Lytechinus pictus: one gene and its partner. The protein of the gene in region 1 purifies or fractionates together with the protein of each later gene. This does not show direct contact. Links are inferred from orthologs where the notes say so. Each region holds a gene or a part of one and is shown on either strand. Other genes may lie near its edges.

Region 1 (7,880 bases):
ATTTTACTTAGCATAATTTTACTTGGCAAAGTAAAATACTTAACAATGGCAAAGCAAAATTCTTAAACTTGTTAAGTATTTTACTTTATTATTAAAGCCAAATTTAAGCAAAATATTTATTATTACACTGTATATTAACGATTGTGACATCATAAAGTTTAAGCCATAGGGTGTCAAAAGCAATAAATAATGTCTCGACTCCTTAACTTAGTGTTTGACATATACATGTATATATATTTTTTAATATTCTTGAAGTTCATGTTCTACATGTATATAAACCACTCCATCACTGACATGATGCTACAGGGCATCGAATCTTTAGGTACCCGTCCTGACTCAGTCCGTACTAGCAGGGAGAAGCTCTGGATGAGACGACTTCGCACCACCCAACCTCATGGCCTGAACATCCAAGAGGGGAACGACTGATTTTTCTTTCCTATCCACTTTCAATTTATATATACATATAATTTTTCCCCTCAGCTCTTTTGAATAGTTACATTATAGTTTCTTCCTCTACTTTCCTCCCATATCTCATACAAGCTCAGCTCCAAATTTTCCTTCCTTATTCAGGCGATATAATAATTATTATATATATATATTTGTTTTTTCTCCACTCACCTCTTTTAGATTTACCACATTTGCTTATTTACATGTATACTTTGGTTTCTTCATAATACACCCCTTCTCTTCTATATTTGCTTTTACCTTTTTAGGCAATTTGCTTCCTCTTTTTCACATATACAGGTTTTTTTTTTTTTTTTTTCCTACTATATAGTCTTATGTTTTTTTCCTGTCACACCTAGCGGATTACAATATCAGTTACACCATATGTTTATTTATATTTTTTCATATACATTTCTTTTTTGGATATATTTTTATACATATCACTTATAGATACATATTTACACTTACCTTCTTCTCTTAGTTTGTTTAATGCTTTATCATATATACTTATATGTCTTTTGCACATTATCAGTTGTTCCCCATTCTTTTCCTTTTTTCCCCCACTCTTATGCACCAGTTTATTATGCCTTTCTTTGTAACCTGTTTGACCCACCTCTCACTAATTCTCTTGTTATTCATCCCATTATCACTGTTTTGTTCCAGATCCTGTTTGATATTGCCTGCCTCATTATCTTAATCCCTCTTGGCTTGAGGTCTTTTACTGGCCTTACTTATACTAACTTCCCTTTGTGTCTGCCTACTCCTTTTCTTTCATCCCCTTCACTAACCTGATTGGTCTTCTCTACTCACTAATGCCCCTTTTGTCTCCTTGTTTATAGTGTTGCTGTAGCTTGTTTGTGGTCTATATTATGGTTGTTCCACTTTATATGTTTGTCATTTTGCCTCCGACGAAGATTCTGCTAGGATCAAAAGCTTAGGCCCCTTTTTGACTTTCTGTATATAAACTTCCATAAAGTTATGAACTTTATGACCAACATTTATGATCATCGTAATTTTTAACATTGTTTTCTGTTAAATAGTATTTTTCCACTGCCTAAATATTGATTTTACACATCTTTCTATTTTGTTTATTATTGCCATGCTACTTTACCTACTTGGCATGTTTGTATCTGTGCAAGTTTCACATTTTTTTTTGTCCTTGGTTACTTTTCATACCCAATTTTCTCTCAAGTCTAAACATTAAATCACATTTGTATTTCTTGCATTATACCTGACGTTTGAAATAAATAAATTAGATTTTTCACAAGCAGCCTCTCATATTTTCCTTCTTAGTCTCATACAGTCAGACACGTTGACTTTGTTTACTTGATTCAAACCCTATTTTTACCTCAACAAATAACTTTTAAAGCATAATTTGCAAAATTATCACTTCAAATATTAAAGTATTCATAAAAATTCAGAATATTTCAATATGTCGAAATTACTGATTTACTTCCATTTTCATTTTCGAACAAGTGTCTCTCTCGTATATCAATGAAAGGTGTCCTTAAAAAGACTATGTGTTCTAGATAAGGAAAATAATGAAAATTTCGATTTTATCCAGTTATTATGTTTGTGGATCTAGTTTAACTTTAAAGTTGTTTCTCTTTTTTTTTCACCTCATAAAGTACATGTAAGCTCCGGATATCAACATCTCCATATGTACATCAATTCCACAATCTGTAATACATACATAATTTTTTGATCTCCATTTATGGAAAATTAAATAGGTCTATACGATTTTATGAAAAGTTGTCATTCCGTAATAGGTTGAATTAGGTTCAGGTGGCGATGAAGACAAAATTTTTTGACGATACTAACTTAGATCTAACTTAACGTGTCGTGACTAAATGATGTATATACATGTAGTCTAGGCCTATACCAGGTAGTCTAATCAAACAATTCAATGTCAAAGTTGGATTGGATGACAAATTTGCCTTCGTGAAACTGAAAGCGCTGATTTGTCGCCAATCTTCCTATCTCGGAAGAATGGTCCTTCGACGTCCCTACTATGCTCATCTCGTCATGAAACAGGCCCAGGCATGGTCATGCTGGCTCCCTACCACCTAGACCAAAAGCTTCGGTCTCTGTTATATTGGTTGTTCCGCTGAACTCCGTTGGCTCTTGCACTCACCAATTACAGAGACCGAAGTTCTAACTTAACTTGATCTGTAGTTACAGGGACTCAATGGCCATATGTTTATGAACTACATGTATTAAGTTCGGATAAACCAGAGCAGTGGGAGTTACTCGACAGCCGAAGTAAGTCACTCTTTTTTTTCCTTTTAAGTTTATTTTTTCCCGTTTTGGTGCATTTCAGGCCAAAATGGAATCTAAATTCTAATAATCTTCTTTTTAGGGCTAGACCAATGAAATAGGGTCTAAAGAAAAAAAAAGACAAAAATCAATGAGCCCCGTCGGGGGGATTTTGCATTGTTAACCCTGTAATGGTGGCTGCACAATCGCGAGCCATCTGCGTATGAGGAGAATTAAAAAAATTTATTAAATGTTAAGAAACAGACGGCTGCCAGCAGTCTACTGTACCGCCTAGACAGCTGGCAGCCGTCTGTTTCGAGGAGTTTTTTAACATTTTTTAATTTTTTATTTCTCCTCGTACATAGTCGGCTCGCGATCGTGCAGCCGCCATTAGGGCATTAACAATGCAAAATCCCCCCGATGGGGCTCACTCACACATATTGCGAGGTTAGTATTAGTATACTATAACCTCGCACCATGAACCGCGTTTGGCAGTGGATTTCTAACTAGTGGGTCGCGCGTGCTGCGATCCCACTTCTGGTGTCCACAACACACGACTTCTATGGCTTGATTTTTATGTGCGTGGCGGCATGTAATGAACCCTTGAGTGGACGGGGCTCATCGATTTTTGTCTTTATATCATAAAAATATATAAAAAGAACTGGACCAAAATAAAGATTATTAGGCCTTATCCTGAAATATGTCACCTCTCTTCTCGTGTGTGTCAGTGTGTGTGCGCTCGCTGTGTACAAAGTCAATGGGAGATGAAAGAATTCACCACCGCTTACAAAATGAACGGCAGTGAATGGAGTGGTGACTTAAACCAGGATAGACCTTATCGCAAATAGATTCACGAAAAGGATCATGGGATCAAAAAGGGAGCAATAGCGCCGCTATTGTCCGGATGCGGACATGCGAACGCAAGCAGCCGACAATAAAGTGGACGATTTCCATAGTATATCAAAATAGGATCAACGCCGCAGCCAACATTTTGCTAACTTCCAGTAAACGCCTCGTCATATTTGTTCCAGAGTCTAACATCACTTTTCTTCTTAATTATGGGTGGCAGAGAAAGATGTGCTGTCTATAGCTGTAAGAATTACCACAGATTTAATTTTTTGCTAAGTTTGAATGTACTTTCTTTTTTATAATGTGACATTTTATGTAAAAAAAAAACAATCCAAAAATCGGGTTTCCGCCGAATGTTAGATCTAATGTTACTGCTAATACTGCCAACAACTCTTCAGTCTATGTATTGGTGAGTGGAGCCAACACAGTTCAGCGGAACAACCAAAATACAGAGACTGAAGCTTTTGGTCTAACCCCCCCCCCCCCCTTTCTTGTAATGATCAAACTCAAAAGTCCGATTTGCAAAGGACTATATTTCCCCCAAAATAACAAAAACTAGCTAAATTTATTAGTTATGGAAATATATACATGTATCATGGCCTACATTATGATTCTCATCAATATTCTTTAATGGAAAAATAGCCTCAGGCTCTCTTCGGATCGCCGATCGGGGGCGAAAGTTTCAGGGTTTTTTGCGGTACACGCAGATGAATAGGAAGGACTCCCTGGCTTCATGGAGAGTAAGCCTACGTTAGTAAATGATTTTTACTCTCAAGAAGCCGCCTGGCTACTATACATTACCCCCGGGAATAATACATGTACCCCGGAGAAGTTAAAATGACATCCGTTTTTGGTCGTCCTGCCGTGCAAAAAGACGACCTGAAATTGATGACAACCAGCCCCCATATAAAAAATAACTTGGCGCCATCCCACCCAGATAAAATGCATCAGAGTGCAACCAAAAAAATGTTTAGAGGTGATATGTCAGTGTGGCTTGCCGTAAATGCATTTTCTCTCAATGCCGACGGTGGCGGGCGGTGTGCAAAGAAGATCATGCCTCGTCGTAGGACATGTCTGGTCCTCTGGAGGTGTCTTTCCAAGGACCATTCTTCGTAATCGCCCAAATCGGCTTTGTTAAACAGTTGAGCGATATCTCGTTCTTACGTAGAATGGTTCTACGAAAGACCCTTTCATGCAACAGGCCCCAGCAGAACAACCAATTTAACAGAGACCGAAGCTTGTTTTGATCTACACTACCACCTTGCTCTCGCTCTCGGCCCTGGCCTGACTCATCACGCCACCGCACCGGCCCGCGGGGAGCATGAGCATCCGTCGCAGACGTAGCGGCGCGCGCTCGGCTTGGAATGGATCTCTTTCGCCCTCTTTCGCTCTCCTTTGTATTTTTGATTGAAGTCGGTTGGTTATTTAACTCACATTTGAATATTTACGGTCCACTAGTTTCTTCTGTGCAGTCAAAACATCCTTAAGCTGGTTAAAGACGATTTGCAGAGATGATCCTGAAATGTTATGTTCTGTCATTTCCAAATTTAATCTTCCCGGATTTTCAATTTTTTATAAATGTCGCGAGATGGCGCTACACACCGGAAAGTTTGTGATGTGCATATGCAACCAGCCGAAATAGAAGAAAAACAACTCCCAATTATTGATAACTTTAACGATCTATTTATTCTCCCTAAAGGATCAGGAGTGGAAAGGACCTGTAAAACAGTCAATGAACCAAATGGATGGAAATTTGCAGCCGATTTCAACATTGTCTGGTCATCACGACCGCGTTTGGTGCGTTTCGTGGAATCCGACCGGGACACTTCTGGCGAGCTGTGGAGGTGACAAGACGGTCAGAATCTGGGGCAAAGAAGGTAGATAATTCCCGATCAAAGAATTGAATGCTAAGTAGATCTATAGGGAATGATTCTTGCTAATAATGTGTGCACTTGTGCCTTGTTTACAAAGATTTTTGAAATGGCGGAGCCTAACAAGTTTAACATTAGAACATGGTTAAAGTTAAAACTTAAAAACTTAAAGTTAGTCTGACTTCGTTAGGCGCTCACGTGCGTCATTTAGCCTTAAATTAAACGAAAGTTAGATCTAACGTTGTCGTTAGATCTAACGTTAACAAGTTCGATATCTAAGTTGGGTCTAATGTTAGGGCGGGCCTAGACTCAAGTAGATTGTAGACCCCTACGTCTACTCGTTATGAAAATTATTTACACCAATAACTTTCTTGCTCTTTGTAATATATAGACTCCTAATTTACTTTTTTTTTAAAATCTTTTTGTACCGGTACCGTAAGGGCACTAGTATTCAACCCGTTTGGAGAGTTTCCTAAAATATATAGAAATATAGAATTTACCTGAATTTCAGACCCGTCTTATTTCCAAGAGCAAATGCTGGTGATTCTTTTTCCGTTATTTTTTTCTTCAACCAGTTGACTGTGTGCGCGGGCGATCGAATTATACGGCGACGAATTTTGGTACTAGTATTCAACCCGTCGGTACTAGTATTCAACCTAGCGATGAAAGATGGCCCTGTCTCTCAATCTGCCCTTGTCCCATCCGACTATGGACTAGACCATTTGAGATGAGACCAAACGGGGAATTAATCAAAGCCAGAGACTTACATAGATCTACATCTAATTTAGCAATCTAAACCCTTTTGAGATTTGCTATCAATCCTCACTAGGTTGAATACTAGTACCATTCAGTGCAAAAGGCCATCGCCGCATAATTCGATCCTCCGCGCATACAGTCGACAGATTGACAAAGAAAATATCGACAACAGATTACCCTGGAAATAACAAAGGTATGAAAGTAAGATAAATTCCCTATTTCTAAATATTTTGGGGAATATGTCAAAATCTTTGAATTATGCCGGGTTGAATACTAGTACCCATACGGTAGTGTTTTTTTTCTTCTTTTGCATTAAGTGACGAGACTCTATTTGCATTAAAAAAATACAGAAAATCTGCTGGAAGCTGTTTTTATCTGTCTTATACTGAGAGTTCTAGTTCATTACTCCATTAAACACTTTATTATCATGACAATAATGATTATTGTGTTCTCTCACAAGGTGATAATTGGGTCTGTAAGAAGATCCTCCAGGATGGCCACACAAGGACCATCCGACGTGTTGCCTGGTCACCCTGCGGTCAGCTGCTGGCCTCGGCAGGCTTTGATGCCCAGACCTGCATCTGGGATCGTCGCAGCGGAGAGTTTGAGTGCAGCGCCACCCTAGAGGGCCATGAGAATGAGGTGAAGAGTGTTGCTTGGTCACAGTCTGGCTCACTCTTATCAACGTGCAGCAGGGACAAAAGTGTTTGGATCTGGGAAGGTAAGCATTGACAGTACAACACACATCATCAAGGGCATGTGTTAGAATAAAACGCCAGAGCCCCATAATTATTATTTGGTCTGTTTCAGATGTAACAAGTGTAATTATTCTCATGTCCAAGCAAAATCATGTGTATTATGGGATTATGTTTTGTGAGATAGTGACACTGGCAGTTCCAGGGGGGGTGCAAAGCCGGCCGGTGCCCCCTTTTGAGAAGCACAATTAAAATTTGTAATGTGAAAATGCTGTTAAAACAGAAGTGTACCCCCGCCCTTTGAAAGTGAAGACCTTTTACTTTTTTTTCTTTTTTTTTTTGCTTGTCAAACTCTTCTTTTTTTTCTTTCTTTTTTTCAGCTTGTCAAATTTTTCCTCTGGAAAATATGCCCCCCCCCCTTTTGGAAAATCCTGGATCCACCCCTGGATAGTGATGTTTGATCCTTGTTATTTGATGAACCATCCTCATTGCAAAACCATGACTGGTCAATAGAACTTGTCAAATTATCTTGTTAGCTACTGATGAATGGCCATGTGATTGATTTCAGCCAATCGTTTGATGAGGATCCATATTACCATTCGATGAATTATTATATCAATTATGATTTTTAAATGCCTACTTCTATAGGTATTGTTCCAAGGTGTAGAAAAATTGGATCATACATGTAGATTATTTGATAGACTATTAAGAAAAGCATACTTACTGCAATAGCCTTCTTGTGGATGTTCATAAATCCTTCTGAATTAACTGTTCTGATTAACTTTTGAAAAAGCTTGGACATATGATCGGGGGAGCTATCGATATGGTATTATTTTGTTTTGTGTTTTTATTTTATATTTGAATGACTAATTTGCAGTTGACCAAGAAGACGATGATTACCAATGTGCCAGTGTACTCAGCATTCATACTCAAGATGTGAAGCATATCGCCTGGCAGCCTGGACGTGAGGTACGATATATGCATTCTGAATAATCAATACACCTGTTCA
Region 2 (7,540 bases), on another chromosome or scaffold:
TGATTATATGATATGCCTACATGTACGTAGGACATGTCTGGAGGTGTCGATGAGGTGTCTTTCAAAGGACCATTCTTCGCATCGCCCAAATTGGCTTTGCCTTTGACTTTGTGAAACAGTTGAGCCATATCTCGTTCTTTTGATGTAACGTAATACATGTACTTCCAGCGGCTCTACCAAAGACCATTTCATGAAACAGGCCCCTGAGCTCATCACCTGCCGGTGTCATAGGCGATTTGGACCGGGCAGCCGATCGGGGCCGGAGGTACTAATCGGCGGCTCTTTTACCCGCCGATTAGTTCCGACATTTGTTGTGTGATGCGATCGTCATAGTCGCTTTGTTCCGACCAGGCGATTTGTTCCTATACGCTGTTCATGCACCATTATCCCCCCTACAGCAAGATTGTGATATTCCAGTCGTCCTTTTCAACCAATTTGCTCCTCCAAGTCAACCACACCCACAGAACAGATACAGTTGCCGATTTGAGAATCTCAAGTTATTTAGGAAGTTGTATGCATTTTTTAGCACTCTTCCAATTAATTAAACATCCGGGGACGGCTGCTGGGTGGAGCCATGAAGCCCTATTCACACTGTGTGCTCCCTTTGTGCGCCTGTGCTATTCAGGGTGTGAACTTCAATATATCCACCAATATGGCTGGTTTGTCTTGGTCTTCATTACCAAGCAAGAAATAGGATGGGATTGGCGACTAGGGTGATGGTGGGGTAAACACTGCTGCATGCTCTTCGAACCCCCAAAGTAATCAAGTAGAAATCAAAATGAATGTATCAATACAAGAAAACTAAGTCCAACAATAAGGCTGCCAGAAACACAGGGAACTCTCAATGACACCTCATTGAGACACACACTATGCGCATATTTTTTTTTTTGGGGGGGGGGTTGGGGCATGGGACCCGGGTAGTCGAAAAAGGAGGAAATATATGAAAATAAAAGGGAGAGAAAAAAACGTAGGAAGAAGAGATCGCAAGAAATGGGGAAAAGTATATGAGAAAAGGAAAAAAGGAAGAGGGAATAAGGGGGGGGGGGAGAAGGAAAATGAAGGGGGAGATGAAATAATAATAATAAAAGAGTGTGCATGAGCGCGCCCGCAATTTGAAGTTTGCCTTAGGTAATGCGAGATGTCCTCGCATTGGATAACAAAATCACGGTCCATGTTTACAATAAAAAAGTTAAAAAACAAATGTTTAAAAACTACCGTTAGAGTAGACTCTACTCCAAAAAAGAGACGTGGTACAGTACGGTACCGTGTCAACTGTCCAGGCAGTCCAGCGCTGCACGTGCGCAAAAAAGGTACCCGTACATACTACATCGCATCGTGTACCGAGGGTACCGTCCGTAACATACATGTACGAGGCTGAAATACCTCTTATCTAGATCTACCTAGACCAACATTTTTAATTTTAGACTGAATTATAGAAATAATTGTGATGAAATTAATAAAAATCACACCAATATTATATATATATTGTAGGTACGTGACAATCCGCGCTTCCGCAGGTTATTTCCTTGCACCGCACTATCGTTCCGCCTCTTGTTCGAGTGCACAGTGCATGTCTCTGCTAAAATCGCTGTAGCGGTGCTATTTTTAGACCTTAAATCATGAATGGGGTATTGATCAAGAGATCGGGAATCCCGCTTGATATCGCTTATTTTTTTTCCGTACGATGAACAAGGACTGAGATACGTCGACCATCAAAAGATTGGAGACGAATTCGATGCCTTGAATTAAAAAAAAGGAAGGTATGTATAGTTTTGAACGTTATATATCTACGTAGAATATTTATTTAATTACCTGCATATGAAATATCTAAGTGATTTGATTACCGAAACAATGTTTTTTAGCTCCGAAACTTACTGTACATGTATGTGCCAAGCAAAAATTGGCTGCATGACCGCGCGCGCATTATAGGCATCCTGGTGAGTTTTCACGGTGCTGCGCTGGGCTAGTATGTGGCTGTCAGCTGTGCTAGGGCGCTGATCTTGCTGCTTGCTGAAGTGGGGTTTATTGTTTGTTTACCAAATTAACTGCTCTTTTCTTTCGTGTTTTGGATTAATATAACTACATTCAAAGATATTGGGGGGGGGGGGGGCACAACTCCAAATTTATTTTGAAAAAGAAAGCTGGGCAGATTGAGGCTTAATATCAGTGAGTGTGTGAATCAGCTCCCCAGGACTACGAGGCAGGACCCATTCCCCTTCTTTTAAAAAGGATTATTTTTTTAATAGCTTCTTTCATATTCTTTATTTTCTCTTTTCTTTTTTATTTTCTTCACTTTTCTTTTCTATTTTTAAAATTTTCATTTTTTTTTTTTGTTCTTTTGTTTCTTTTCTGTTCATATTTCCCCCTTAGGTTTTCTTTTATTTTTGTTTCTTTTTAAAATTTTTGTATTGTTTATTTTTTCAATTTTTTTGGTCAAGTTTCATTATTTGGAGACTGGATTTGCTTTTGAAAGGAGAATATCTTATATGTTGATTTTTCATTAAAATGCACAAACTATATGTTCTTTATTTTTTTGTTGTAATTTTTTTTTTCACTCTTGTAAGAAAATACATGAAAACTCAGAGAAAATAATATTTCATTTCCAGATAGGTCTAAGTCCTGTATTTATGTTTTTTTTAATTTTATTTTTTTACTTTTTTTAAATACTTTTTTTTTTCATTAGGGGTGCAGGTGGGGTTGTGTTTTAAACTGGAAAATGGGGATGGGATTGGTACAAGTTTTTGTGTCACTTTTGTTTCTCTTGTTTTAATGTTTGTTTGGAGCTTTGATGTCTGTTTTGTTGTTTAGAGCTTTGTTATCTTTTTTTCCTGGTTGTTTTTTGTTTTGTTTTGAAAGAAATAGACCACTCTTTTCCTTTTCTTTTGGCTTCAACTAATAGTTTGAATTCATTTATTTTTCTTTAAAAAAAGAGAGCTCAAACAGGGCCTTTGCAATACAATGTGTGTATACAAATCTACGAAATACATTAAAAACTGATAGAATATATTAAAGCTTAATTTTTGTACTTCTTGATACTTGAAATAAATTGCATATAATGCTACATAACATATTTTACACTCAGCTGCTCATCCCTCCTAAAAAAAGTAATCAAATGTCCATTGTCTCTAAAATCAAAAGCTACATATTACACATGTATAACAAATTGTTGAAACAATAGAATACATAAGGAATTGGTGAAACAATCAAATACATCAGAAAAAAGCACACTTGTATTTTTATTTGGTCATACAAAGTACAAAAGGGATAATTTGTATACGTAAAAAAGGACCCCCGTACATACATGTATACAAAATTTACAATACTAAGTTGAAAAAGAGCTTGTAATTTATATCAGAAAAACAAGGAAATACATTAGAAATTACAAAAACAATACTTTAAACAAATTTATTTAGGAAATTATCTACATGATGCTGTTTTGATGCCAACTAAATTATATAAATTATCTATCAAGTATCATGATCACCTTTATTTGGCAAAAAAAAGGGGCGAGTTACCGAGTAATTGTGATTTTGTGTAATTTGCATAATTAATTAGAATTAGAAGAAATTATTTTACACATAATAATAAGAAAAATTACAAGATGAAATGATTACACATCGATTGAGTTTTCTTTCACCTTTCCATTGATACCTAAATTACTTCATAGGGCTAAAAAACAAAGTTAGAGCCTGTTGAAGACTTGGGTTCAAAATGGTCACAAAAATCGGTTCTGTACTCCACTGAATTGACTTTACATTAAGACAATGACCACAAAGTAAACCTGGATGAATATGCGCGACTTCACTTAAACTGGAATAACTTTATAATTTCTTGATAAAAATTAGAGTTCTTGGTATCATTTGAAAGGTCTTTTTAAGAGCTTTCAAATGATACCAAATTTATTCATATTTGATGATTTTCATTTTTTTTGTCACATACCTATAATTATATAGGGCCTAGGCCTATATTGAAACATTTCACCAAAGCAGATATTATTATATATTAGGCCTAGGCCTAGGCCTACTACATTCGAACCTTCTGACGAATACGGAACCAAACAGCGGCTTTCCGTTCGTATCGGCAAAAATTTCAACCAGTCTTTTGGATCTGGCAGCCCCGATCGGCTAGCCGTTTGGCCTGGTACTGACAGCCCAAATATAGGCCTACTTACTAGCCGTTTTGGACTGGCGGGCTCCGGTCCAAATTTTCTACCACACCGGCGCCGGAGGTACCGGGACTGCGACGTCGGAGCTCCCGTCGTCAGTCCTCACTGAGCTGAGCCGATTTCCGGGTATACCAAAAAGAAACATCACTGCTTAAACACACTTAATGGTACAATAAATAGCACACACTCTTGTAAACGAGGACAAGCGACTTACCTTTCATCACCAACAACAAGGAAAAGGCTGAAAATATTAAGAATTTCATGATGTTTTACTTTTAGTCGCTCTCAGACTCCGATATCGATATCTCGGCTCCTCAGCTCAGCTCAAATAAAGAACCTCACATTTTGCGCGCCCTCTTTAGTTTGAAGTTAACAATTTTCGCGCCCGCGCCAAACATGAAGTTTCCTAGATCATCGACTGATCGAGAATAACACGAACAAGCCTAATTTAATACTTTGTCTTTGATATTGTTCTGTCGAATACGTACATGTACCAGGCTGACACATATTTTGAAGTATTACTGATGCGTTTGGAGGCTTTGAATTTGGACAAAACTTCACATGAGAGGCAGAAAGTTAAAATAATTATCACTGAGTGTCTGTTCAGATTTCGGAATGGTTCTGCAGAACAGCGGCCGCTACAGGGCCGACCGCAGTGAGAACGCCGATGGTTCCGGGGGAGGTGGTAGGTGAGTGAGCGGACCCTACTGCTTGCAGGCATTCAGCTGCATCTGCAGTGCACCATCGTCAATCGACTTCATGGACGTTGTTTGACTCGAGCCTGTCTATTAATGCAACATAGGTCTAACGAGTAATGTTACACCACGTGCTACAAAAACCTGATAGGCCTACTAGATAGAAACGTCATTGATTAATTAGAATTTAGATTTAGAATAGGCCTAACTATCTATTTTAAAAATAGTTTGTCATTCATTGATCATTCATCATTTCATTGTCATTGAATCGAGATTCATCATGACATTATTCATGTCGAGATTTAAGAACCCATAATTGTGAAGCTGCATTTTGTACTTAGTTTTCTAAGCCTGTATTTTTTCTCTTTTGCATTAATCTAATCTAACGTGAGAAACTTACATTTTAAAAGTTAGAATTAGGCAGTAGGCTAGACCCACTCAAGGTCAAGGTTCTAACTCTGGCGCACTCACAGTCACACGTATTGTGAGATTAGTATTAGAAGTATACTAACCTCGCACCACTTGTTCACTGCAACCACCCACTTGTTCACTGCAACCACCCTGCCTGTGGGGAATCTACAGGTAGGACTATAGGTCTAGGATAGTAGGAGGACTACATCATGGCATGCCAATGCTGTGCAGAGCACACACTTTAAAAAATCATTAAAATATCATTTTTGTGACCAAAATTACTAATTTCCATACAGTTGCAATTTATTTTTTATAAGTAACTTGGGAATAATTTTTGTACTCACTAGAGCGCTCGAAAAAATTGAATTTTGGGCATATTTTTGTGTACGCCCTCTATTGGTGGAAAATAATATGGCAAGAAAATTTTCATTTTTTATCTCTATTTTTTATTAAGAAAAAAATAATTTAAAGCATCAAATTTACTTAAGGGCCAAGTTACGACGAATAGGTGAATTGGAAACTGTCACGTGTAAGAAAATCAAGCATTTGTCCCAAAGAAAAAGAGAAAATGAGCCAAACATTGCCATCCTTATTTTGCCACACATGGAGATACATGTATAACTGAGAACAAGGTTATATCATAACCTTGTTCATTGAATGAGTACCTCGCACCATGAACCGCATTTGGCAGTGGGTTTCTAAGTATTGGGTCGCGCGTGCTGCGATCCCACTTCTGGCGTCCACAACACACAACTTCTATGGCTTGATTTTTTTGTGCGCGGCGGCATGTAATGAACCCTGGCTTGAGTGACTCTGGCGTAGTGCGCAGGAAAGTTACATGTACAAGGTCAAGGGTCAAGGCACAACAACACCCTCATAACCGGAATTTAGACACTAGATCATACATTGTTAATGACCACTTTTTTCCATAAAACTTACCAAACAATATGAATCCACACTTTCCCTCTTCTTTGTCTTTCTTATACAGTGCGTCCAAAAAAAACTATACACTTTTGAAATGGCTGCCAAATAAAAAGTATATCACTTTGGGGGGAAAGAATTATATATATGGAAAGCCAATAAAGTCATCTTTCAAATGACACCAAAATGTTGGAAAAATATTCATGCTTGAGTGAGCACTACCCACTTAAACAAAGGGTATGAAAATCAGGGTGGGCAGGAATTAGCCTTTTGGTTTCTTTCAGTTTTTGAGAGGTGAGTCCCTTGGAACTTGCAAACTTGAGGGTGTTTTGATGAATTGATGGTCATTATCAATTTGCATTGTTAAAGCAAATTTCATGAATTATCAAATTGCAATTCCATGCATGAGTGAGCATGAATTGCAATCTTTAGTGCAGCATTTTAACTTTACTATGTGGGTCTCAGCAGTGTGTTCATTGGAGTCGGGAGAATAGGGGTAAGAAACGACTTCAGTGGGTGAAGTAAGCTGATGGGAAAAGGGTCAACAGAACGTTTAGCCTCCCTCCTGCAGGTCCATTCCTCTCTCCTTTTGAGATTGAGGTTGATTGCTATTACATGTACGTATTAAGTGCAGAGCGGACTGTCAATTTGATAATAAATTCTGAAAATTAGGTCATCAACTTTTACCTATCATTCAATCAATAATCTATTAGTAAATCAACTCAATCAGTGCGATCAATCAAATATTCACCCTTTTCAATAAATGATCAATCAAACATTCAGCTTTTTCAATAAATTATTTCATAAATCATCATAATTAGTCAAGTTTTTAATAATCATTCAATGGAAAAGAAAGACCCGTCAACCATAAGTCATTTAAGTTTGAATACCATCCAGGAGAAAGAAAGGGGATGGAGGGCGGGGGTGAGTACATGATTTGTTATTTGTAAGAGAACACAAAGAAGAATGCCCCTATAACCCAGTCTTACCCTATCTCACCCCCTTGCATGTAACAGGTACCATCACATTACTCTGACTCTCACAAGCACACTTGATAAGATCCACATAATAAACTAAAAAAGCTACATTAAAATTACAATTCCTGTTTACTCATGCATTACATTTCAATTTAGTAACTCATGAAATTTGCTTTAATATGAAACCAAAACTGATCTCAATTCATCATTAATTTAGCATAACACCCTTAACTTTGCAAGTTCTGAAGGACTCACCTCTAAAAAAACTGGAAGGCTTATTCCTGCTCACCCTCGCAAAGGCTAGTCTCTCAGGAAAGGGTGAAAGGGGTAGAGAGAGAGAGAGGGGGGGGGGGGGTTAAGTGTTCTGTTGA

What was found. The genes of interacting proteins can lie anywhere in the genome.
Region 2: the proteins of probable cytosolic iron-sulfur protein assembly protein CIAO1 homolog (region 1) and DNA polymerase epsilon catalytic subunit A-like purify together in Homo sapiens (affinity purification with western blotting; 3 studies listed by BioGRID, with this or other methods). This does not show direct contact. The link is inferred for Lytechinus pictus from reciprocal best matches to the Homo sapiens genes CIAO1 and POLE.

The regions. Positions count from the first base shown.
Region 1 is NC_087256.1:15,794,375-15,802,254, reverse strand, and holds the start of probable cytosolic iron-sulfur protein assembly protein CIAO1 homolog, read left to right. Parts: upstream 1-4,870; 5' UTR 4,871-4,983; coding exon of another isoform or gene 4,984-5,088; 5' UTR 5,089-5,281; coding exon 5,282-5,426; intron 5,427-6,636; coding exon 6,637-6,897; intron 6,898-7,748; coding exon 7,749-7,840; intron 7,841-7,880. Other genes in the region: spermatogenesis-associated protein 24-like, read right to left, coding at 4,984-5,088. UniProt on the Homo sapiens protein: Key component of the cytosolic iron-sulfur protein assembly (CIA) complex, a multiprotein complex that mediates the incorporation of iron-sulfur cluster into extramitochondrial Fe/S proteins.
Region 2 is NC_087252.1:33,395,035-33,402,574, reverse strand, and holds the start of DNA polymerase epsilon catalytic subunit A-like, read left to right. Parts: upstream 1-4,525; 5' UTR 4,526-4,780; coding exon 4,781-4,854; intron 4,855-7,540. Other genes in the region: MAM domain-containing glycosylphosphatidylinositol anchor protein 2-like, read right to left, coding at 4,380-4,428. UniProt on the Homo sapiens protein: Catalytic component of the DNA polymerase epsilon complex. Participates in chromosomal DNA replication.